Arabidopsis thaliana: one gene and its partners. The protein of the gene in region 2 interacts with the protein of the main gene of each other region in a pairwise test. Each region holds a gene or a part of one and is shown on either strand. Other genes may lie near its edges. The genes, in order: FOLK, DER1, AT1G01230 and AT1G69460.

Region 1 (6,152 bases), on a different chromosome or scaffold from region 2:
CTACCAAATTCATCCTCACATACCGTAGAACATTCACAACCCTCGTCGTCTACATTCAAATCACAACCATGAGTCAAACTAGTCTTCGGACATTCAGAAGCAAGCCCATTACAATCCATAGATTCAACTCCCACAAGTTCATGTTCTCTCCTAAAAAATCTCAACCAAGCAGAGAAAACAACCTTACAAGGGACATCAATGGCGTGCCTCCTAGCGTTGAGAAGGCACCTACGCAAGAGCTTGGCATCACCGAGACTGCGGAGAACAGCGTACTGCTCAAGGTAGAGCATCGATGCCTCGGATTCCGAACTGGACTCGATTCTCCGATATAGATTTGATAATGACTCCACCAAATCGATAGGTTTGAGGTAAGAGTCCAAGGGAGGCTCGAGGAGGTCTGTGGTGGGAAAGCCATGAGGGAGAAGTGAACGAGATTTGGATTTGGGATGCCCAAGGAACTTCATCATTCGAGGGCTACCATTGCTGCTTGTAGAGGGAGAGTCTTGTGTAGTAAAGGCGTGGACTTGAGTGCTTTTAAATCTCTCAAAGAGTTTGAGATTGCGCATTTTGCTATATCACAGAAATCTGAGAAAAGGGTTTGATTTTGAAGTAAAGAGAGAGTGAGGGAGACGGAGAGAGCAAGAGAGAGAGAGAGAGAGAGAGAGAGAGAGAGAGAGAGAGAGAGAGAGAGTTGAAAACACAAGCTCTGTCTCCGGTGACAACACACAGTGCAGAGACAAAAAGGAGAGAGAGAGAGAGAGGAAGAAGAAGACGATGAAGTGTGATTGAGAATATAAATTATTTTTATAAAAAGGTCAATAATTTGGGGAGAAAAAAGAGTAATGGCGTCGATTTTTGCAAACCCAAAAAACATTTATATGGAAAAAAAATGGTCGAATCTCATATCTGTTTTTCTTTCTTTTATGCATTTTTTTGTGGAACAGTTTACGAACTTCAACAGTTGGTGGTTCTTATTGGGTGCGATACGAACCAGACCACTTTCCTTTCTCTTTCCTTTTTGTGTAAAGACCACTTTCCTTTTTTAAAACAATATTTTGTTTCTGTTTTTTTGGTGAGGAAATATTTTGTTTCTTTGTTAAATTGTTATTTTTTTCCATATTTGAAGATATTGGTATGGCTTTTAATTTGTGAAAATTTGGGTTTATTACAGAGTTATATGATGATTAAATATAGTTTAGAGAATTATAGATGGTTGGTTCGTTTCGGGTATAATTAAAATAAGCCTCTCTGACTATCCAACGTCATTGATTCATGTGATGCCAAGATAGGTAGGTTAACTAGTTATGTGGTTTCTTATCGGTTATCTCCTATCTAAACAATTGAGCTTAACATTAAACTTTGAAGATATTAACTTATCTCTCTAATGAACGAAAAAAATTCAGTTTTATTGGTTGATTGGTTATGATTTCAATGACTAACAAAGAAATGGTCTTTAATTTATGTACAGCATGAATTTACTCAATTTATTACATACAACATGATTTCAAAAAATTGCTTAAAATTTTGCAAAACATTTCTTTACTGTGATCACACTAATCATTTGTTAATCTGGTGTCTACTTTTTTACTCGCTAACGTGAGCGTGTATATTTATATTTTCTGAGATCTTCATAGTTTTAGGTTTTTAGCTTGTAGTTAGTTTTTTTTGTTCTCGATATTGGACCAACAACTATCAGGAAACGCATAATTTATTATATATATAAAAAACTCTCATAAAACGTACTGTATTAAAACAATAACAAATAAAAAGTGGAGAGAACTATATCCAGAACCAATTCTGATGTTCTTTTGCCCGCACACCTGGAAAACACATGCAAGTGTACTCTTTAAAGATAAACATATATACCATTTGCGAAATAATTGAGGATTTTTTTTCTTTTGCCAACAGATAAATAATATAAGATTGTTTCAGAAAAAAAATAAAGATGGATAATTGAGGATTAGGTTGGCATTATTTGATGCAAAAAATACTAAAGAAAATCTCACATTGAAATCAATTAAAATAATTTTCTTATGGTATATACAAGTTGATGCAAAATTGATAAAAGATTAAACAAGGCAAGAGACGTGTGGTCATGTGTCTCGGCAACCCATGTGAGGGAATCTGAATCACTTTTTTTTTTTTTTTTTTTATGTTTCTCGAATCTGAGTAGCACAATAATTGAATTGTGTTTCGTAACTAAATTAGGGATTTATTAATCATGAAAAATTATTTGATGAAATCAAATTGTGGTCCGTCTAGTTGACTTATACCAGCCCAAATTATTTAGCGAATATAAAGCCCAAACTAGGCCCACAATAACAAATTATGCGTTTCCTCAAACGAACACCACCATGTCATGAACCATTCTAGCCGAATCCAAATAGAACGAAACTAAAATTGCTTTAATCCATATGTGACCAGATAAAGTAAAACACTCCTTTTGGGGAAATAAATATCCACTTTTCACCATCTTTTTGGTAAACAATAAAACAAACCAAATTTTGTGTGCTTGAGCAACAACAACTACCAACCAGTTACTGTCAAAAAAAATAAATGAAAACGTAATCGAAGAAAAGGTCGTGTTTTCTAGTGTTGCAGAAAATGGCAACTACTAGTACTACTACAAAGCTCTCCGTTCTCTGCTGCTCTTTCATTTCATCTCCTCTCGTTGACTCTCCTCCTTCTCTCGCCTTCTTCTCTCCGATTCCACGATTCCTCACTGTCCGAATCGCGACTAGCTTTAGATCGAGCTCTAGGTTTCCGGCCACCAAAATCCGCAAGTCTTCACTCGCCGCCGTGATGTTTCCGGAAAATTCGGTTTTATCAGATGTCTGCGCGTTTGGAGTCACTAGCATCGTTGCGTTCTCGTGCCTCGGTTTCTGGGGAGAGATTGGCAAACGTGGCATCTTCGACCAGGTTTTCGATCATTCAATTCACTTAATTAAATTATACACGCGTCGATTTGTTGAATAACGTTTTTGGAATGTTGCTCGATTCTGCAATTTCTGGTTAAAGCAACTTTGGATTCAGAGTAATGGTAGTAGTAAGCTTTATCGAGTAATGGATGGCATTAATGGCGAGGATAATAAATCTTATTAGTTCAAGAAATTATAGAATGTGAATGGATACCTATTTTGGGGTGGAAGAACACTGCGATAAACAATGGGAAAGTAACCCCATATCTGGTAAATTAGTGGGAAAATTGCTCAGAACCCAATTTGGGGATGAAATTTTTTTGAAATTCGTGCGGTATAATCACAATCTCATCGTAACTTGAAGATTCAACCATATTTATGATATATATGAATTTTGTAGGTTTAAATGTTGCACAATTTCTTTGCTATACTTTGAAGGATTATTTCTTCGTATGAGTCAGTCTATACACATATTGGACATGGCTTGTTTTTTTTTCCTTTCTCTTATGTGTTTCTCCGCAGTGACTTGTTTTTCTTCAAGTAATTTGGTTAGGAGTAGAGGAATTATCTATGATTAGCAAAAATTCTATTAAACATTTTTGGTTTGGGAATACCTGTATGGCTTCAGCTACTTGATTTTGTTTCTCTGACCTTATCGTGATTAAGATATCATCTCAGAACCCATTGAATTTATAAGATCCACAGGCTGTCTGATGTAGGACTGACTCCACTTTCATGGTTTTATTGAATGAGGCATTGGTTTAACATCTGTGGTTGACATTGGTGTTATTTCTTATTTTTCAGAAACTCATCCGGAAGCTTGTGCATATAAATATTGGGCTAGTTTTTATGCTTTGCTGGCCGCTGTTCAGGTAATAATACGGAGTGAAAGGATCGATTTTGATGTACCAGCTTGCTTTTCTGCTTCACCAGTTTATTTCGATATCAATTGTTTCAGTTCTGGAATCCAAGGAGCACTTTTCGCATCTCTTGTACCTGGACTCAATATAGTAAGGATGCTATTGCTGGGGCTTGGAGTGTACCACGACGAAGGAACAATCAAGTCAATGAGCAGACATGGAGATCGCAGGTAGCTGAATCGAACAAGTGTCTGTCACAATATCCAACAATCTCTTAGCATTCTTGGTATCTATGATCAAAATTCGGTTTGTCTGTTTATTATTGCTTTTGTCACTTCACAAAGTGTCTGTAGTCGCTCTCTGCATCAGGGAACTACTTAAGGGGCCGCTTTACTATGTACTGTCAATCACATCAGCCTGCATCTACTATTGGAAATCATCCCCAATCGCGATTGCGGTGATATGCAACCTTTGCGCAGGAGATGGTAAGTACAGTTAGCTCTGGTTTGATCCAATAACATTAGCAACTTTTGTCTTAGGAATTTGAATCCATTGAATGATGATTCTAATACACACACTTGCTGTTAAAAGGTATGGCTGACATTGTGGGTCGGCGGTTTGGAACAGAGAAGCTTCCTTACAACAAAAACAAATCATTTGCTGGTAGCATTGGAATGGCCACCGCCGGGTTTCTAGCATCTGTTGCGTATATGTACTACTTTGCTTCATTTGGTTACATCGAGGATAGCGGGGGAATGATTCTTCGTTTCCTCGTCATCTCTATAGCATCAGCTCTTGTGGAATCACTCCCAATAAGCACCGACATTGACGACAATCTCACCATTTCCTTAACCTCTGCCTTGGCCGGATTCTTACTCTTCTAATAATACCCTCTCGTTGTTATGTATCATCAAATAAAGGGTCGAGCTTGATTGCTGATATGGAGGTAAAACTGCATTCATTGTTCCCATCTTCTTCTGTATGTACGTATTAGTGAAACATCTCATATTGTTGTTGTCCACAAATCTTATTTTTCAGCTGCAATTGCAGTTGGGTACAATGTTGTAATGTTCTATCCATTAGTGAGACATATGATGACGAACAGTGACGCTTCTACAATTTGTAACAGATACTCTTTTGTAACAGATATTCAATACATGTTTGTTTGTTATTTGGCCTATGGCTATGTGGAAATGGATTGTTTGCTTACAACAGGTGAGGGCTTGAGTGTCCCGCTCCAGGAAGCCTCTTCTGACAGGTCGGACTGGTGACTGTAACGGCGTTTCAGACAAGGAAGCAACACGAGGAACAAGAGGAAGACGGCGAAGCTGATGACAAGAACTACCGTCAAGATCTCACCATGCATGGCGTAGTGTCTGTCTCTAGTGAAAGTAAGTCGTTCGCCATCTTCAGGACTCGAGGCCTCCACCGTAGAAGTTACCATTAGAGAGGTAATCTCAAATATTCTCAAATCTCAACTCCTTTGCTCATACCTACTTCATACTGTCATGCATCATCTTGGAGGGATTTGTGTCTGTTTCTTTTTCCTCTCTGAAATATAAATTTGACTTGGGAGAATATGTATCAAATGAAAACAATATGTCACCACAGAAGAAAAGAAGAGTTTAAATATATTTCTTTGGGATAATTTAGTAGATGGATTTTTGTATAAAGGTTGGTGTAGAAAGTGAGACTGGGACGTTCGTTAGTGATTGCTCTCTACATATGGGGCGTTGGATTGGGTCTTTTTGGATCTTACGTGCGACGTCGTTTTCGTAATTTGAAGAAAATCCTTTTCGTGTGGCTCCCATAACCGACTCCGTGACTTTCCCGGAAATTTCCTCAAGAGAGAAGCGACCTTGTGTCTCATGTTAGTTGCTTCTTCTTCTGCCCTTATTTATATGAATACAAAAATTAATTACTCTTTGATTTGGCCCATTTAAAATTGCTAACTTCTTCACGCATTCTCGAAATAGAAGAAAACGTGGTATGCTTGTATTAATTGAATGGTTCTGAAAGAGACATTTTCAGAAGAAACAAAAAAGCAATTGTGCCAAACTAGAAGAAGAAGCTATAATCGAGGTGTGCTCTACTGAGATTTTGCATGGGTGCTGCAAAAAAAAAAAAGAGATTTGAATGGGCCATGAGATGGGCTTTTAATAAAAAAATCATAACAGAAATTAGATGACGTGGAGTGTCGTTTTCTTTCTATTCGAGGTGACGGTGAGAAGGAAAACCGTGTCGTTTATATGATTAAGTAAAGAAACGCTTGCCGTTTAATATTTTAGCTTGGCCTGGGTGCCGTGGCAAGTCATGATTGGTGGTTTCTTCGCCGATGTAAAATTCAACAGATCGAGAGAGAAAAAACTCTCTC
Region 2 (5,955 bases):
TGAAAGAAGCATATATTGAATTAGAACCCTCTTCAACATGGTATTTGCATATCTGATCATGAAGCTACTGATTAGGTTACCTTCTTGCCACGGATTACAGCCCCGGGCTCACCTTGGATCACCATGTACTTTGCTCCTGCCATGAATAATCCCGTGGGTGCCAAGTGACCCGGTTCGTCGAAATCTTTCATAATATCACTGAACTCCTGTCCCTTGAACTATATGAAAGACCAAATCACGATTAGTCGATTACCATGAGACAACATGCATCATTTGTTTTCAAATCTATGCAAAACATATAAAAAGAAACACACACACACAAAATACACTATATATATATCCCATGACAAACATTGATAGAATCTAATCAAAACATGATGCATGATCTAAATCACATTGTAAAAACACATATCATATCGGATAGCAACACTATCAGGATCTAAATCACATTGAGATCAGACGCAATGAAATCAAATACCTGAGGGAAGTTGGCGCTCTGAGCCCAAACGCTACCGTCATGACCAACGATAGCGGCAGCAGTAAGGTGGTGTCCTTGACCATCGCCAACATCACACATCAAATGCTCATCAACGTAAGTTTGCCACGACATCTTCTTCTTCTTTTCTTATTTTTTTTCTTCTTCTTTGTTTATGATCTATACGTTAAGTGCCCCGGTTATGTGCAGCGTGGGGACTTCGTCCTTCAGATAAATAGGAGAGGAAGGAACAAGGATCATTTTAAAACCGTTGGATCACATAGACGAATTCTCAGCCCTACATCTTACTTTTTCTTCAAAAAAACAAGGAGTGATTTTCAATTAGTGCCGCTCAAGTTTCGCCTTTGTTATAGCTCAATCATTGTTTCGCTATTTGCCACGTCTACTTTCTTCCCTTTTCCTATTTCCCCTATTTATAAACGATCACCAACGGCATTTTAGAGGAAGGACCGAAGGAATGATTATTTACTCGTTAGTCGTAATCTTGTTAGCCAATAATAATATTATGTCCTAAAAAATTCAAACTTGTTACGACCAAACTCTTTGGTCACGAATTTAATAACTTATCTAGATAGATATTCAAACTCGTTACGTCCAAATTCTTATGTCACAAATTTCATTTGATTATATTCATAGTGGCTATAGTTTATCGAATTCAATTTAGTAAGGAGATGATTGCTAGACAAAAACAAAAACATAGAAACATGAACCACATTTTGAAAAGAACATTGTATTAAAACCTCAAAGATTCTTCCTACAGAGTCATATATTCAAAAACTGTACTGTTCGAAAACACAAAGCTACCTGGGATTAGTTAGTGGCATTGTTTGAAAAAGATTTGATATGATGAAAACAAAGAAACTCGAGAAGATTTCTATTTCAGTCGGTGAGACGATATGATCGACCTCTGAATGCTGTGTTTGAACTCTCGGGTGGGGCACGAGCGCTTGAATAAGCTCCTCCTCCTCCTACTCCTCCTCCAGCTCCGGGTCCTGCTGCTCCTACACCACCTGCTTGTCGAACACTTGCAACTGGAGCTCCAATTCGCCATCTTGCTACGATTTTATTACTGTTGAGAATGTCAAGGTACAACAGCAAAACAAAAACTGAGAAGCGAGAGAAACAATCATCTGGAAATAATCGAGAATTTGAATAAAGGATACACCCATTTTGGGGTTTTCAGGTAGTTTTTTCCGGTAGCAAGAGGATGAAGGACTGTTAGGAAGTAGTATAGATGTCCAGCTATGATGCCAAGAAGATCTGGCATGATCGGAGAACCGAAGATAACATCAAGTGCTAGCATTGCCCATGGGAGGTAGAAAGCCTGTGGAGTAATTCCAACTTTCACCATTAACATTATATATACCAAGGAGTGGATTTGATTACAAAAGAAACACTTTCAATACCTTAAGAGTGACAAGACCGTATAGGCTGATGTTGGCATTTGGAAATTCTCGGCTCCAGAGATAAAGAAGCATGAACACAAGTGAAACACCAAGAAACGGTGTCCAGAAAAATGGTATGACTGATAATACCTGAAATTTGAACAAGGTAACTGTTTTAACACACGGATTTACTAGTATGAATACCTTCCAAAATTTTGTCTCGCTTTAATAAAATGCAACCCTGATTCAATTCTTTGAGAGCTTCTGATCTTCTCAGCTTTGGGATATTATGTACCAGCGATTATCTACTTTGTGGCATACCACATACTAGTACTGGGGTTCTCAAAGAACCAATAACAATGATCAGTAAGAATAGAATACAGGGGAGGCTTTACATACCAATAGAGTGAAGGATCCAAAGATCATCATCCACAAAAAGTCTGCTGTCCGCCTTTCAAATGGCCCTTTCTCGAGTTGAACTCCATATCTTGCTCTGCACAATCATTTAAAAGAGTATGTTAAGATAATAAAAATCGAAATTAGCTTTGTTCATCTATATATGTGAAAATAGTATGCTCACATCATCAAAAGACGTATTCCAAAATTGATAGAGAAACCACCGAGGAAAAACAAGTTTGTTATCAGCCTCCAGATCTACAAACACCAAATAGATCAAAAATTGCAGAATGAATTAGGAACTTAGGATGACAGAGATTTGTGAGAAAGAAAGGAAAATCATAAAAAAGAATAAATCATATACCTGGAACTGCTTAAGTACAAGTTCAGGAATTAAAGCAATGTGAACGGGAGCAACTAAGCCAAGCTGCGTGGCTACTGTAGTGAAAAAGCACAACGTACCATAAGCCTTGGTTATAGGTGGAAGTGAGTTATAGAATCTGCAATCAATAACAAGCGATCTAAGAAACAATTTGACAGATAAACAATCAAAATCATACATATTCCATCCATCTATAAATTTCTAATCAGGAAATGTCATCAAGATCAGCTAAAGCATAAAACTTTACCACAAGAGACAAGCCTACGCAGAGATATTTTAGACTATCGTAGCTAGGAGAATCAAAGTAGCCTTGTAACTATGATACAGCAAACGAGAACAGTTTTGCTTCAAGACACTATGAGATTCCATATTTCAAGAACTAACTACCAGTTGACTTGTACTAACTTCCATGGCATAAAAGATGTTTCTTTACATCTCAAATCACCAAAATATCAAATGATGACAATGCAAATTGATAACTATATACTAAAAATAGCGTTAGCTCAAGTTCACAGAACTCGCTTGGTGTTGCAAAATTACGCTCGAATTGAGAAGAATCAACAGTTGAATGCTTCAAAAACCCCTATACAAGCTAAACGAATCATGAAAATTATTAACCTAAGGACTCAAAATCCTGGGTACGAAGACCAAGCTAAGAATCTCTCGATCAAAATCGAATCGAAGCAAAGTTTCAATAGAGGGGAACGGAACTCACTCGCCAGGAGAAGACATGTTCGTCGATTTTCGAAGATCCGAGGTTCTGAGTCCGATTCAAGATTCGAGATCCGATATAAGCTTTGAGAGCACCGCAAAACAGAAGCTCGAAAGTTCCAGAATTTTTTTTCCTTCTAATCATCTGAAAACTCAAATCACTTGTTTTTGTTAGGCAGCTGCGTAAGTTATCCAATCATACCTTGCCACGTCGTGTTAATTCACCGTCTTGAATACGTGGCACGTTTTAATTTGTAATCGTGTTTAAACTTGTGGGATCAATTTCTCTTCTTTCTGATGCGTCTCTACTCTCTAGTAGTCTGTCTCTATGATGATCCCCAGTTGGCCAGTTTATTGAATTGGGCCAAAGAGGCTTTTATTTGACCCATTAATAGATCAGGCTCGAATTAGATATGTTTATAAATGTTTTTTTCTTTGCCAAAAAAAATAATGTAAGAATATGAACCCTAACAAATTAACAAGAAAAGACAATGCAAAGGGAATCTAATCTCAAGGAATATCAAAATTAGAGAAACATTAGCATTAAAGCAATGATCTTTCGCAAGTATGGTCGGAACCAAAGATCCGAGATTTATTATTAGTTTCAATAATAATGTGTTTTTAAGGTAATTAAACAGAAAATCAAGATTATTTAACCTGGATTAGGTACGGGAGAGGGTCCATGTGCATGTGACGGGTCCCAACCAGATAATCTTGACCCGATTCGATCTCACTCCTTGTCTGCTGACTCATCCTTACGTCATTCCACACAATGCTTTGTTATTTGTTATTTTGTTGGTTTTGCGTGGAACTGCAAGGTAAATTGATCAATAATAATAATGTATTTTCTAATTATAATCTGCTAAAAATAATATTGTAATTTCTCATTAACTGTAAACAATTTTAGTATTAAAAGAATTTTACAATGAATTTCAAAACTGATTTGATGTTGTCCTATGTAGTTTTAAACAAATAGTAGTAGACGTTCTTTTCATAACTTAGAAAGATTATTGTGATATTGAGCAATATCGATCTTCAATGTTTATATTTGAATAAGAATCTCAAGATTTAAAAATAATTTCTTAAACACAATCAATAGGGTTGGTACATAAACAATTACAAGTTTTTTAACAGTAAAAACCGTTTATACCGTTATGTTCTTGTACTGCTTTATTTTATTTTTACCTCACAATAGAACGAGATATCTCTTCTCGTTACAAATCACACCTAGCTAATACAACATAATACCTATTGTTGAATACAAATATTAAGATACGATACGGAGACAATATCTGAACTATAATTAAGTTGATAAGCATTTTTGGCACCACATTACGAGATATGCCAATATGCCACTTGGTTTCTTTTGGAGTATATGCGAAATATAAGTTTGATCAAAGAGTAGTGTTAGTGCTTAGGTGGTTAACATATGTTTGATAAAAAATGTGACATGGTATAGATCATGTGAGTTGTTAGATACGTTATAAGATTTCATTTCATGACCTTATATAACTTATTAAATATTAGTTCGTTGTAATGTTCCTAAGTTAGAGCTTTTTATTGGTCGTTACGTTGGAGGCTACGTAAGTGGGTTTCATGCATAGTCACGCGAAAACAGCTTTTGGACGGCTAAATACCCCTTCTAATTATATGATTGATTAAAAAACATGTATAATCTACACAGTTAACAGTTTACTAACTATACTTTTTTACATTATCGTTGAGAAAATGAATAAGATTAAAGGGTCCCTAGATTAAATGTGAGTGGAAAAGAAAAGAAAAAAGGTTTTGGTTCTTTTGGATTGTTTGACCTATCGATAGAGACATCGCAATGGAACTTGCCAATGGCGAGAGAGGAACATGCAAATTTCATTACATTGTGATAAGTTAAATCCCGGAAAAGGAGGGAGGAGAGAAAACGACATATTTGCAACCAAAAGAAAAAAGTGATAGAAAGATGCGTTTAAAAAAGCAAACAAACTAAAATCATTTATGAACAAGGAAAACAAGAGACCGAGCTTGTCAAATGGCAAAAATGGTGGACCTATCCATGTTTCAGTAATTCGCATGTTTAATGTCGGGAAACTAGTTTTTCGTTTTTTTCTCCCATTGTTTTGTGATAGAAATGACAAATTTAATACTCACAAATTTAAAACCACCCACATATTTAGCTAAACTCACAACTGATAAATGTGATTCTTAGTATTTGAATCGAAAAAGAGTGGTAAGGTAAGTTCAATACTTCCCCACCAAAAAAAATATAACATTAGAAAAATCTAGTTGATCAATAGTGTTAACATGCAAATTCCGTATGTATATGATAAATAGCAAACTATATTTTTCGTGATTTAAATAACTCTGGATGCAAATGGCCGAACATTGTTTTTCAAAACCAAATTGGAATCAGTGGGTTGAACGAATCCGACCAATATCCATATCAAAACTGATTCTGAATAAATCGGACCTAGTGCCTAGTATAGTAGCTTGGCCCTAGCGCATAGCTAGTAAATTGATTGTTCGAGGTTTTGTTTTCATTTGCGAGAAGAGTATTATTACTTACATGCATTGGTTATTTTGTTTCCTTC
Region 3 (5,449 bases), on a different chromosome or scaffold from region 2:
GCAGAGCAAACTACAAAGATCATGCGTAAGATTTCGCAATGGGATCGAGTAAATTTACCAAAATTTTCAGAAATTCCAAAATCAGAAGTTGACCCAGGAAACAAAAATCATCACTGATCCATGAGAAAACAGTCTGATGGAAGAAACTAGAAGAACAGAGACTTTTATCTAAACAAAACCACGAAAACAGAGCAAAAGAGTAAGATTTGTAAAATAGATCAGAAAACGAAGTAACAACTAAAGATACCATTATTAGTAGTTTAAAGAATCCATGAATCACTCTAGAAACAAATGAAGCGATCTTGCGCGACCGAAGCTTTTGGCTTTTCTTCTCTTTTTTTTTAATTTTCGTTTCTCACACTCTCTGGCCCCATGGAACCAAATTTACAGTTTCTTCCGTAAAAGCTTCCGAGTTAGGGACACAAAACGACACAGTTTCAATAACTTGTTTGGCTTGGTAAGCATCTGAAACAGCTGGATTGACAACACGTGTTGGCTAAAGAGAGAATCGACGGCTATTACGATATGGACCCTACTTTCGATTTAATGGATAAGATGTTTTTATTTATTTTCTTACATTGGACCACAATAAGAAAAAAAAAAAAAAAAATCATTAGTCTTATTCCAACTTTAATTAGTCATTCTTTCGTTTTGTCGGCTTTAATTTTGCAGGATATATCATGTTTTCGGGGTCCAATTAGCATTCTCTTTTTTTTTTTAATCACGTTAATTGATTACTTTTGTTAGCTTTATTCAATTTTGAAGAGGGATTAACTATTTTGTATACGTACACCATGATATAATATCCATCCAGGTGGACTTTAACTATGACACGTGTCATTAACCAGCTGTTAGAGATCTTGTAGGCAGCCACGTGTTCTTTAGATCCCACTGAATCATTACGCTCAATCGAAAACATTCTGGTGTTATGATAACTCATGAGTCACCACGACAGGAATCTTTGGGCCATTGTTAAATTCAATTATTGTTCAAGCCCATATTGCTATTAGGCCCATTATCTGAAGTGAAGTGGGGAGATGAAGGGAAAGCTTTTTCGTGTCTATTATAAAAGGTAAAAGATGAAAGCTTCAAAATTAGAGAGTTTACTTACAAATATCCAACAAAAAACATGACTCGAGAATTAAACCAACTCATATGAACATTTACACATATATATGTTCGCTTATATCCCCTTTTCCTTCTTTCAGGTGTTCTCTTGCCGTAAAGGAAACTTATTTATCACCATTGATACCAAAGATGCGTACCTTGTGCATGTTGGGGAACTTGGCAACAACGAGAACCATCACAGCGAGTGTGTTGAGGAACAGCCATGGATGTCTGTAATCTGTTGTATGCGATGCAATCAAGTACCTGTTTTAAATGTGTCGTTATAAAGTCAGAAAACAAGTACAAAAGCTAAAGAGCTCAATCTTAAAAGTTCATCCAGATAAATGCAGCTCTTGTTTATACACATTATCGCGTATACAGAGTTCTCTAGAACTAGTCCGTTACACATCACCGGATTTAGATATGTGTATTGAGAAATTAGCATATTTATTAACCATATGAGACACAAGGATATATGCAGCTAAAGAAAATAATTTGCTAAGAAAATATAGATTGGAAATAGACAAGAGTGGTGAGATTTTGAGGAACAAGGTGCTGGGACTTACAGAACAACAGGAACTAGGGTAAGAAATTTGCGGTTGCGGGTAAGCTGTTGACCATTGTCCATTTGTTCCCACCAAGTTAAACCATTGTAGATTCCTTGGTCATCTGCAAAAGGAGTTCCTTTCATCCAGTGGAAGCTGTGATACGTTACCTGACAACAAATATCCACAAATTTCTACTCAGACATCACATTTTCCTAAAGAGTAATTAGAAATTAGATTAAATTTGGTTTTGACAATCAAGCAATGCCAATTTACAAGTCACCGCATTATATCAAACAGTTAGACCTTAAGAAATTGCATTGATGCCATAGGTAGTTTTAGTTTCTGATATCAAAAACTGATAATTCATTAACGAGAAGGTGCATCTTAATTCGAAGCCTGATCCAAAACCGATCAATTCAAACTTAGAAGAGAATTGCATCTTACTTAAAAGCCTGATCAACTCAACAGTCAACACTGCTGATAGTATCCAAACAGATCAATTCAAAATCGCTGATACCAAAACTGATCAATTCATTGATAAGAAGGTAACTGTATCCTAATTCGAAGCCTGATCCAAGCTCAACGATATACGATAGCTAAAACTGATCAATCAGAAGGTAATTGCCTCTTCATTCGAACCCTAAACCAACTAAAAAATTGCTAATAACCAAAGAGATCAATTCAAACACTAGAGCCAGATTCACATCCAGATCTCAGGAAATAAAAAAAAAACAAGGAATCAATCCATCATCTAATTTAAAGTCACAACCCTAAGTGAAAAAATCATCTCTAAAGCATAAACACAATCGAAGACTTACAACGAAGTGAGCGAGATTAACAACAGTCCAAGCCATTCCAGGGGAACAACCAGAGACAGAGAGAACAACGAGCCAACCGAAGAAGAGAATAAGCATGTAAGTCGTCCAAACTCCTGGATACATGAACCATTCCGTATTCCTATTCATATCCGGTGGTGGAACCGCTTTCACATACAGATTCGCCATTTCTTCTTCAATCAGATCGGATCGGATCGAATCTCGTCTTCTTTTGATCAAAATCTTATATTAACACCTGAACTAAAAACCCAGATTCACAAAATTCTCTATTTCGGCGAGAACAAGGATTGTTTGTTTCTTTGGTTTAATTTTGTGTGCCCGTGAAAGACGACGACTGCTTTTTTGCATCTACACTGGGCATTAATTAATTATTGGGATATTTTTGACATTACCCAAACCAAAACGTCTGCGTTTTCATTTTGTACAGACAGAAAATAGGCCAACAAATGCAATAAAGGGAACATAAAACCAACATGAGGATTCTAACTGAAATGTTTTCTTATGTATATCGAAATTCGTGAACAAAGGTGATAGGTATCTGTTTGTCACCTAACATAGTCGGTATCAGAATCTTCTTCTTCGTCTTCTTCTTCTTCTTCACCTTGCTCAATGGTCTTTACGTCAAGGTTGAGAGCCAAATCCTCAACTGAGACCTTAATGACGTCGCTTCTAACACCAATATCGGTAGCATAGCGACTCATACAGTACATACCAGCAGTAACTGTTGCCACACCAATGGGACTTGGAATAAGCAATTTGAAAGGAGAAGAGAGGAGTGCAGCCAAAGGAGCACCAACAATTGAAGAAGCTTGACCGCTTCTCCCTACACCGAGCTTATCCATTATAAGCAAACCGGTCTTGCAATAGAGCGCGAAATCCTCACAGTTGTTCTTGAAAATGTCGTAGTTGCCAAATCCGTTTTGGAGAAGGTACATTGCCCTGTGGATGACTGAATCAGTTGTATCAGATTGCGCGGTTGTGCAAGTCCCTCCGCGGACTTTGGTTAGGAAAACCGATGGACTGACTCCATATTCGAAGCAGTAGAGTGAGCCGTTCTTGAGGAAACAGTCTAAGCAAGAAAGGACTACTCCACTGTCCGGTTGTCTGAAACCGCAATCAGGAAATATGGAACAGATATCTTCAGAGGAAGATGATGATATTGATGATGTTGATGAATCCATGGGGTTGTGTTCAGGTCTGAAATGAACAACTTTGGACCCACCGACAAAGATTCCTGCAAAAATCCACAATCAAATCAAAGCCCATGAAGGAATGTCTACAACAGTATCAATTCTTCATCACCAGAGGAAATTGGGATAAAAATATGTCAAATAAACAAAAATCATCTATAAAGTCCATCAGAGATCAGAAGATATGATGGAATAACATCAAAATACAGAGCCAGGGTGAAATTAGGTCATGCAAAGATTGGAATATAGACCATTGTCTTCAAGATCTATCTAGATAAAGTCGTCAACTTTGTGAATTTACAGTTTCAATAAGAAGATTAAACCGACCAGTAGAAACTAAAAGAAAAGACTTGCATTGAGGATAATTTCACTTTTTGATGTTATGATTGAATGAACGAGAAAGAAAGGAGCAAACTTGGGAAGAATGAATCTAAAGTTACCGTGGTGAGAATAAGCGAAGATTGCTCTGTAAGTATAGATGTGATCTCCTGGCTTTAGCTCTTCTCTCTCAATCTTGTTCGTAAGCAAACCCATTTTTCTTCTTCTCTCTCTCTCTGCACAAAGCTTTTTTTTACCTTGCTTGTGGAAAATGCAGGAAACGGCGTTACAAGTGTAAGCTCTAACGGTGGGATCTGACGTCAGCGAGATAGGTAAGGTAAAGTAACGTTTTTTGGAGTGGCATTATCTAATTCGATAAACGAACTAGAGAGAGCTGTTGAGCAAACCCGTTACAGAGTCTTTTAACGGCGTTATCTCCAAATCCAAATGCTACCAACGTACTGATTTTCCGGGGCCTTTTGACCTTGATTCCAGGCAGGGGTAATACGGTCACTTCACAGCTTGGTGGTCGTTGAACTATGAAGTAAACCAACCAGAAGCAAGAAGAGAACGACTTGGTCAAGCAAAGGATTTTGTTTACCACACGACATCGTTTTTAATTGCAAATCTGAAAGATTCTTCTGCTTTTATTTTTTCCAAAGGTCCCAAAAAAATATATCAATTTACAAGAATCAAGATGATGACACACTGACACTGTATGTATCTTTCAAATACAGATGCTCCAGTTGTAAACTTTGACATCAAACTCTGCATGTTCTTCCAATCTCTGTCTTAACTCCTTGGCTTTCTCTGCGTCCTTAGCCAATATAAGTGAGAATCCACCACCACCTGCACCTACCAGCTTGAATCCTGAGCTATAAGGTTGCGAAAACTCAAAAAGCTTATCCACAAACTCATTGCTGCAATACGGATCCAGCTCTTGATGCAGTCTCCAAGCTTCTGACATTATGTCGCCTACCTCGTCAACTTCACAGTTCATCAACGCTTCTCTACCGGATTTCGCCAGCTCCGTCAATCGCTTAATGCTTGAAATTAGGAGATTATCTCTTTGCAAATACCTTGTAACGACCTTGTGTAGGACTTGATGAGCTAGCCTGACCTGTTTATATAAAAAAGGCATAAAATGAATGAGACTCTGTAGCTAACAAAAAATCTTTTCTTCCTCTCAGTGGTTGCTACTTACTTGACCCGTGAAAACAACAAGGAGGCGTTGCTCCAACTCTGAAATTAGCTGTGGCGAGGCGAGTAAAGGAACAACTTGAAGACGCATAGGGATTCCTGGAAAACTTGAAGTGAATTTGATTCCTGGATATAATCCACCAATCTGATCTTGCCAGCCACCTCCTGTACCCATGAGTTGCTCCAGAACCAAGACAAGTCTTGCAATGTTTTCATTGCTTTCATCTCCATTAGATATCTGGAGAAGTCC
Region 4 (4,742 bases), on a different chromosome or scaffold from region 2:
ACAATAAATGATCAGAATAATAGACTGATGTTTTTTGTTTTGATAAGTTCAGATACAAGCCATAAGGAGCTTTGAGCTATTCATTTGCTACTATGGCTTAGGAGAATACTTGCAGAGGCAAAACAAGTGTCATAGTCATGGTGTTTACAATGCCTTCTACTTTGTCGTTGCTGTTATACCCTACTGGCTCCGCTTCCTCCAGGTTTCACACAATTCAATCTCTTCCTTTTTTTATTACTGCCTTCACTGATTCTGTCACATCCGAATCTATAACTTACATGTATTCACTTTTTTGCAGTGCATACGCAGATTATGCGAAGAAAAAGAATCCGTACACGGATACAATGCGTTGAAATATATGTTGACAATCATTGCAGTCATCGTAAGAACAGCGTATGAACTGAAAAAGGGACGCACTTGGATGATTTTGGCTCTTGTAAGCTCAGGTGTAGCGACAGGGATGAACACATTCTGGGACATTGTTATAGACTGGGGACTCCTCCGTAAGCACTCCAAGAACCCATACTTAAGGGACAAATTACTGGTCCCTCACAAAAGCGTCTATTTTGCAGCCATGGTAAGTAGTAACATTTTAACATCAGAATATGTCATGTTCTAAAGATTCTGGTTGAATCATATTTGATTTTGACAGGTAGTGAATGTGATTCTAAGAGTGGCATGGATGCAGCTAGTGCTAGAGTTCAACTTGAAGTCGCTTCACAAAATCGCAGTAACAAGCATTATTTCATGTTTAGAGATTATTCGTCGGGGAATATGGAGCTTCTTCAGGTTGGAGAATGAGCACTTGAACAATGTAGGCAAATACAGAGCCTTCAAGTCAGTTCCACATCCTTTCCATTACTACGATGACGACGATGTTGACAAAGATGACTGAGCCATCCTTATAAGTTAATAACACACTCTCTGATTATGTTTGATGATGATTCACTAAAACTACAGATATATATTAGCCTTAATAGGAAAAGTTCAACATGGAAAGACATATACATACATGAATCCATAGGAAAACATAGAGAGATTACAAACTTTGCTTGAAAAATTAAAACTTCAAAAAGTTTTAGATTCAGTTGATAATAGAAAATCCAGAACGGAGATCATACGCTCTTCTCCTATCTTCGTCCATCAACTCCGATACGCCAAGTCTGACCAGATCATAAACCCTCGAAACAGCTTTGGAGACCCCAGTTTCGCCATCCAACACCTCTATGATCTCCTCGCACCGCCTATCAATAGCGTTCACCACAGACTTTGAGGATCCGCGTTTGTTGATTCCCAACACAGCGTACCAGTCAGGCTCTCCTGTGACCGTACGATAATTGGCTGCCGTCAAAAGGATTCTGTAAGCGGCGACGTGTGCATAAGCTTGAGGAGCGTCAGGATTCGCTTTGCAGATTGAAACAGCACATCGTAATGCAAGTTCGAGACTTCCTCTCTCAATATAGTTCTCTTCACAGTAACGAAGAAGCTCGTTAATCTTTTTTGACATTCTCTCAAGCATGAATGATCTCTTACGGTTACGGCTCAAGTAACTCAGTATTAGAAACTCACTCCAAAGTTAAGTAATGGTGTTCGTTGTTTACTTTCCTTTTTTTTTTAACCGAGAAAAGGAAAGTTCTGCATTTTTTTGTACCCTAAAAAAAGGAAATTTACACAAAGGTAAACCATACCGGTTCCTTAAGACGCAAGGATCACATAATGCTAAACCAAACCGGTTTATTAAGCAGAACCAAATAATTCAGGATCGGTTTGTAATCTGAAGCTGTTCACACTTATGTGTTTTAACCAATAAAACATATACACGTGTCAAAACACTTGCATCGTCATCGAGCTTCGTCTACACAATCGAGGAAGAAGCAAAAGGAAGACGAAGAGAGATTCGATTTCTCTGGATTTTTCAAAAATGTTTCTCCAATCGCAAAAACTATGGACGATGCTTCTAATTCTAGCGATTTGGTCACCAATTTCACACTCGCTTCACTTCGATCTACACTCAGGTCGCACAAAGTGTATCGCCGAAGACATCAAAAGCAATTCAATGACTGTTGGTAAATACAACATCGATAATCCTCACGAAGGTCAAGCTTTACCACAAACTCACAAAATTTCCGTCAAGGTAAACACAGATCTTTCTAATTTTGACCTAATTTGTTAAAATTTTGTCCATAGATCTGAGTTTTGGTTATGTGTGAAGGTGACGTCTAATTCCGGTAACAATTACCATCACGCGGAACAAGTAGATTCAGGACAATTCGCATTCTCGGCTGTTGAAGCAGGTGATTACATGGCTTGTTTCACTGCTGTTGATCATAAGCCTGAGGTTTCGTTGAGTATTGACTTTGAGTGGAAGACTGGTGTTCAATCTAAAAGCTGGGCTAATGTTGCTAAGAAGAGTCAAGTCGAAGTAAGTTCTCTGTGTGTAGATTATGAGAAGCTGATTCTGATTATATACATAGATATAACGAAATTGTTGAAGTTAGTGTTAGGCTTGTTACTATGTTGATGATACTCCATTGTGTGTTCTTATGATCAGTTTGAACTGAAGTGAGTTCAATTTCTCTTCTCTTTGTGTGGATTATGAGAAGCTGGTCTGATTATAAGAATAGATAACGAAAGTTTCACAGCTTCAGAATTGTAGTAGCGGAATTGTTGAAGCTAGTGGCTGGTTACTATGTTGATCCTCCATGTGTGTTGTTGTTATGCATTTTTGTGGCAGGTTATGGAATTTGAAGTAAAGAGTCTTCTTGATACTGTTAACTCGATTCATGAAGAGATGTATTATCTTAGAGATAGGTACTTTTCTTTCTCTATTGTTTGGTATTATGAAGATATTGTTTATATGACTTGATTGTGGTGTGGTCTCAGGGAAGAAGAGATGCAAGACTTGAACCGGTCCACTAACACAAAAATGGCGTGGTTGAGTGTTCTCTCGTTTTTCGTCTGCATAGGAGTTGCAGGGATGCAGTTTTTGCACTTGAAGACGTTTTTCGAGAAGAAGAAGGTTATCTGAAACTCTCTACTACGGGGTTGGTTACGCTCTTTCTGTTTTCTTAGCCCAAACAATCAATCTTCTCTTCTTTTGGGTGTTGTACATTAGATCAATGGCTATGACTCTGTTCTCTGAGACTTGGGAATTTTATTTGTGTGGCTTTATTTGCTTTTTTCCAAGATAAGTTTAGTTTTTGTTTAGATTTGTTGGTCCTTTAGGATACTTTGATGGTTTAAAGTCAAATAAATTGTGTTTGTCTGAGGTTTTAGATTATACAGCTTATCTCAATCAGAACCAATTATTGGACTCACTCTGATATTTATAATTTATATGTAAACATGTTATTTCATATTTTGGAATAGAAGTGGAACCTTGGGTACTTCGTCGTGTTACATATTATTATTGTTCTTTTAAAAACAAAAAAATCTTATTCAAATTCAATAGAACAAAAAAATAATACAGACGTGTTACAAAAGAAATAAAGTAGAAAAAAACAGAGATCCATTAAGGTTTTGGATTTGGATGAAACTAGAAAAAAATTCCTAGTTTGAATGTCGGTAGGAGAAACCATTATACAATATCTTTAAATTGGAGGCAGTGATCATGAGAATAAAATTGAAGATACTAAGGCCATCTCCAATGGGAGTCTCTCTTAAGAAATTTCAGAGTTCTCTAAATTAACTTAGAAAAAAATAATTCAAAAATACGTAAAATTAAGAGAGCTAGAAGAGAGATTTGTGAGGGTCGACGACATGTCCTAACGTGATTGAATAGTCATATTTAACAAAACAAAAAAGAAACCATTTCTTTTTTTCCCATTTTTTTTCTCGGTCTCTTTTTTATTCCCGACCACTCTCTTTTCTTTCTCTGTTTCTCGCGACAAAATCAAAAATCATTAATCTATGATTTTCGATGAATCAAGCCGTTTATATGTTTAATCGAAGAATCTGAGACGCCAGAATCTTTAAGTCGACAGAAGTTGTTGTCCATCGGTGGAGGAAGACCAAACCCAATCGGAACTGAAAGTGATTCAGAGAAAAATCTGTGATGAAAGCTCCAATTTAGCTTCTTCCAATAGGATATATCAAAATGTTTAAAAATACGCTACGCAAAAAACCGATGTATTTTTTTATATAGTAAGTAAAATCACAAGTCATACTACTATTGTAAAAAAGATTATCAATATTCAACAATTAAATCATAAGAAGGAAAATAAAATTATGATTTAGCCAATTCACTAGTGGCCTAAATTCCTTGTCGAAAATGCATGGAACACAAACCTCAACTTCTCAAAAACTGATCTCTCATGAAATTTGCAATATGAAGCGGCTCTTCAATTGTCGAGATAATAGCTTTACTATTTATGCGAATTTAAATTTGGATGCGGTTACAACTATGATATTTACGAGTCGTCATCGTTTAAAAAAATTAGAATTAACACTATTTAAATCGTTGTACGTGGAAACACATAATCATAACATAATGTAATCAAAATACAAAATAAATTTAAAAGAGAGTAAGATTTGAACATGCTCAATTATTTGTTCATTCCACTTGTGTCGATAAACCGTTGACTTTCCGAAATATACAAAAATACCCTCACAACGTATTAAGATATCCCACGCAAAGAGAGGGCAATTTGGGTAATACCAATAAACAAAAATTGGTAAGCGAGGGAAGGCCTTAATATAAAATCTAAATGAGTTAATAATTATTTATAACACGTGTTATTGAC

Evidence for each region.
Region 1: the proteins of DER1 (region 2) and FOLK interact in a protein complementation assay, tested with the Arabidopsis thaliana proteins (one large-scale study listed by BioGRID).
Region 3: the proteins of DER1 (region 2) and AT1G01230 interact in a protein complementation assay, tested with the Arabidopsis thaliana proteins (one large-scale study listed by BioGRID).
Region 4: the proteins of DER1 (region 2) and AT1G69460 interact in a protein complementation assay, tested with the Arabidopsis thaliana proteins (one large-scale study listed by BioGRID).

Annotation. Positions count from the first base shown.
Region 1 is NC_003076.8:23,667,909-23,674,060, forward strand, and holds FOLK (Phosphatidate cytidylyltransferase family protein), read left to right. Parts: upstream 1-2,358; 5' UTR 2,359-2,604; coding exon 2,605-2,919; intron 2,920-3,722; coding exon 3,723-3,790; intron 3,791-3,876; coding exon 3,877-4,008; intron 4,009-4,147; coding exon 4,148-4,263; intron 4,264-4,369; coding exon 4,370-4,662; 3' UTR 4,663-4,961; downstream 4,962-6,152. Other genes in the region: EOL2 (ETO1-like 2), read right to left, coding at 1-566; AT5G58570 (uncharacterized protein), read right to left, coding at 4,962-5,222. UniProt on the Arabidopsis thaliana protein: Kinase involved in negative regulation of abscisic acid (ABA) signaling. Substrate preference is farnesol > geraniol > geranylgeraniol, but has no activity with farnesyl phosphate. Can use CTP > ATP > GTP = UTP as phosphoryl donor.
Region 2 is NC_003075.7:14,442,373-14,448,327, reverse strand, and holds DER1 (DERLIN-1), read right to left. Parts: upstream 3,776-5,955; 5' UTR 3,392-3,775; coding exon 3,375-3,391; intron 2,778-3,374; coding exon 2,642-2,777; intron 2,536-2,641; coding exon 2,462-2,535; intron 2,375-2,461; coding exon 2,281-2,374; intron 2,032-2,280; coding exon 1,903-2,031; intron 1,821-1,902; coding exon 1,660-1,820; coding exon of another isoform or gene 1,623-1,659; exon of another isoform or gene 1,566-1,622; coding exon 1,376-1,565; 3' UTR 1,091-1,375; downstream 1-1,090. Other genes in the region: PRF4 (profilin 4), read right to left, coding at 81-218, 479-610. UniProt on the Arabidopsis thaliana protein: May be involved in the degradation process of specific misfolded endoplasmic reticulum (ER) luminal proteins.
Region 3 is NC_003070.9:94,830-100,278, reverse strand, and holds AT1G01230 (ORMDL family protein), read right to left. Parts: upstream 2,868-5,449; 5' UTR 2,660-2,867; coding exon 2,474-2,659; intron 1,823-2,473; coding exon 1,674-1,822; intron 1,372-1,673; coding exon 1,233-1,371; 3' UTR 1,039-1,232; downstream 1-1,038. Other genes in the region: AT1G01225 (NC domain-containing protein-like protein), read right to left, coding at 3,037-3,725, 4,122-4,215; FKGP (L-fucokinase/GDP-L-fucose pyrophosphorylase), read right to left, coding at 4,727-5,119, 5,204-5,449.
Region 4 is NC_003070.9:26,110,340-26,115,081, reverse strand, and holds AT1G69460 (emp24/gp25L/p24 family/GOLD family protein), read left to right. Parts: upstream 1-1,825; 5' UTR 1,826-1,921; coding exon 1,922-2,134; intron 2,135-2,212; coding exon 2,213-2,422; intron 2,423-2,734; coding exon 2,735-2,811; intron 2,812-2,883; coding exon 2,884-3,028; 3' UTR 3,029-3,394; downstream 3,395-4,742. Other genes in the region: AT1G69480 (EXS (ERD1/XPR1/SYG1) family protein), read left to right, coding at 53-202, 299-577, 653-895; AT1G69470 (heat shock protein-binding protein), read right to left, coding at 1,085-1,507. UniProt on the Arabidopsis thaliana protein: Involved in vesicular protein trafficking. Mainly functions in the early secretory pathway.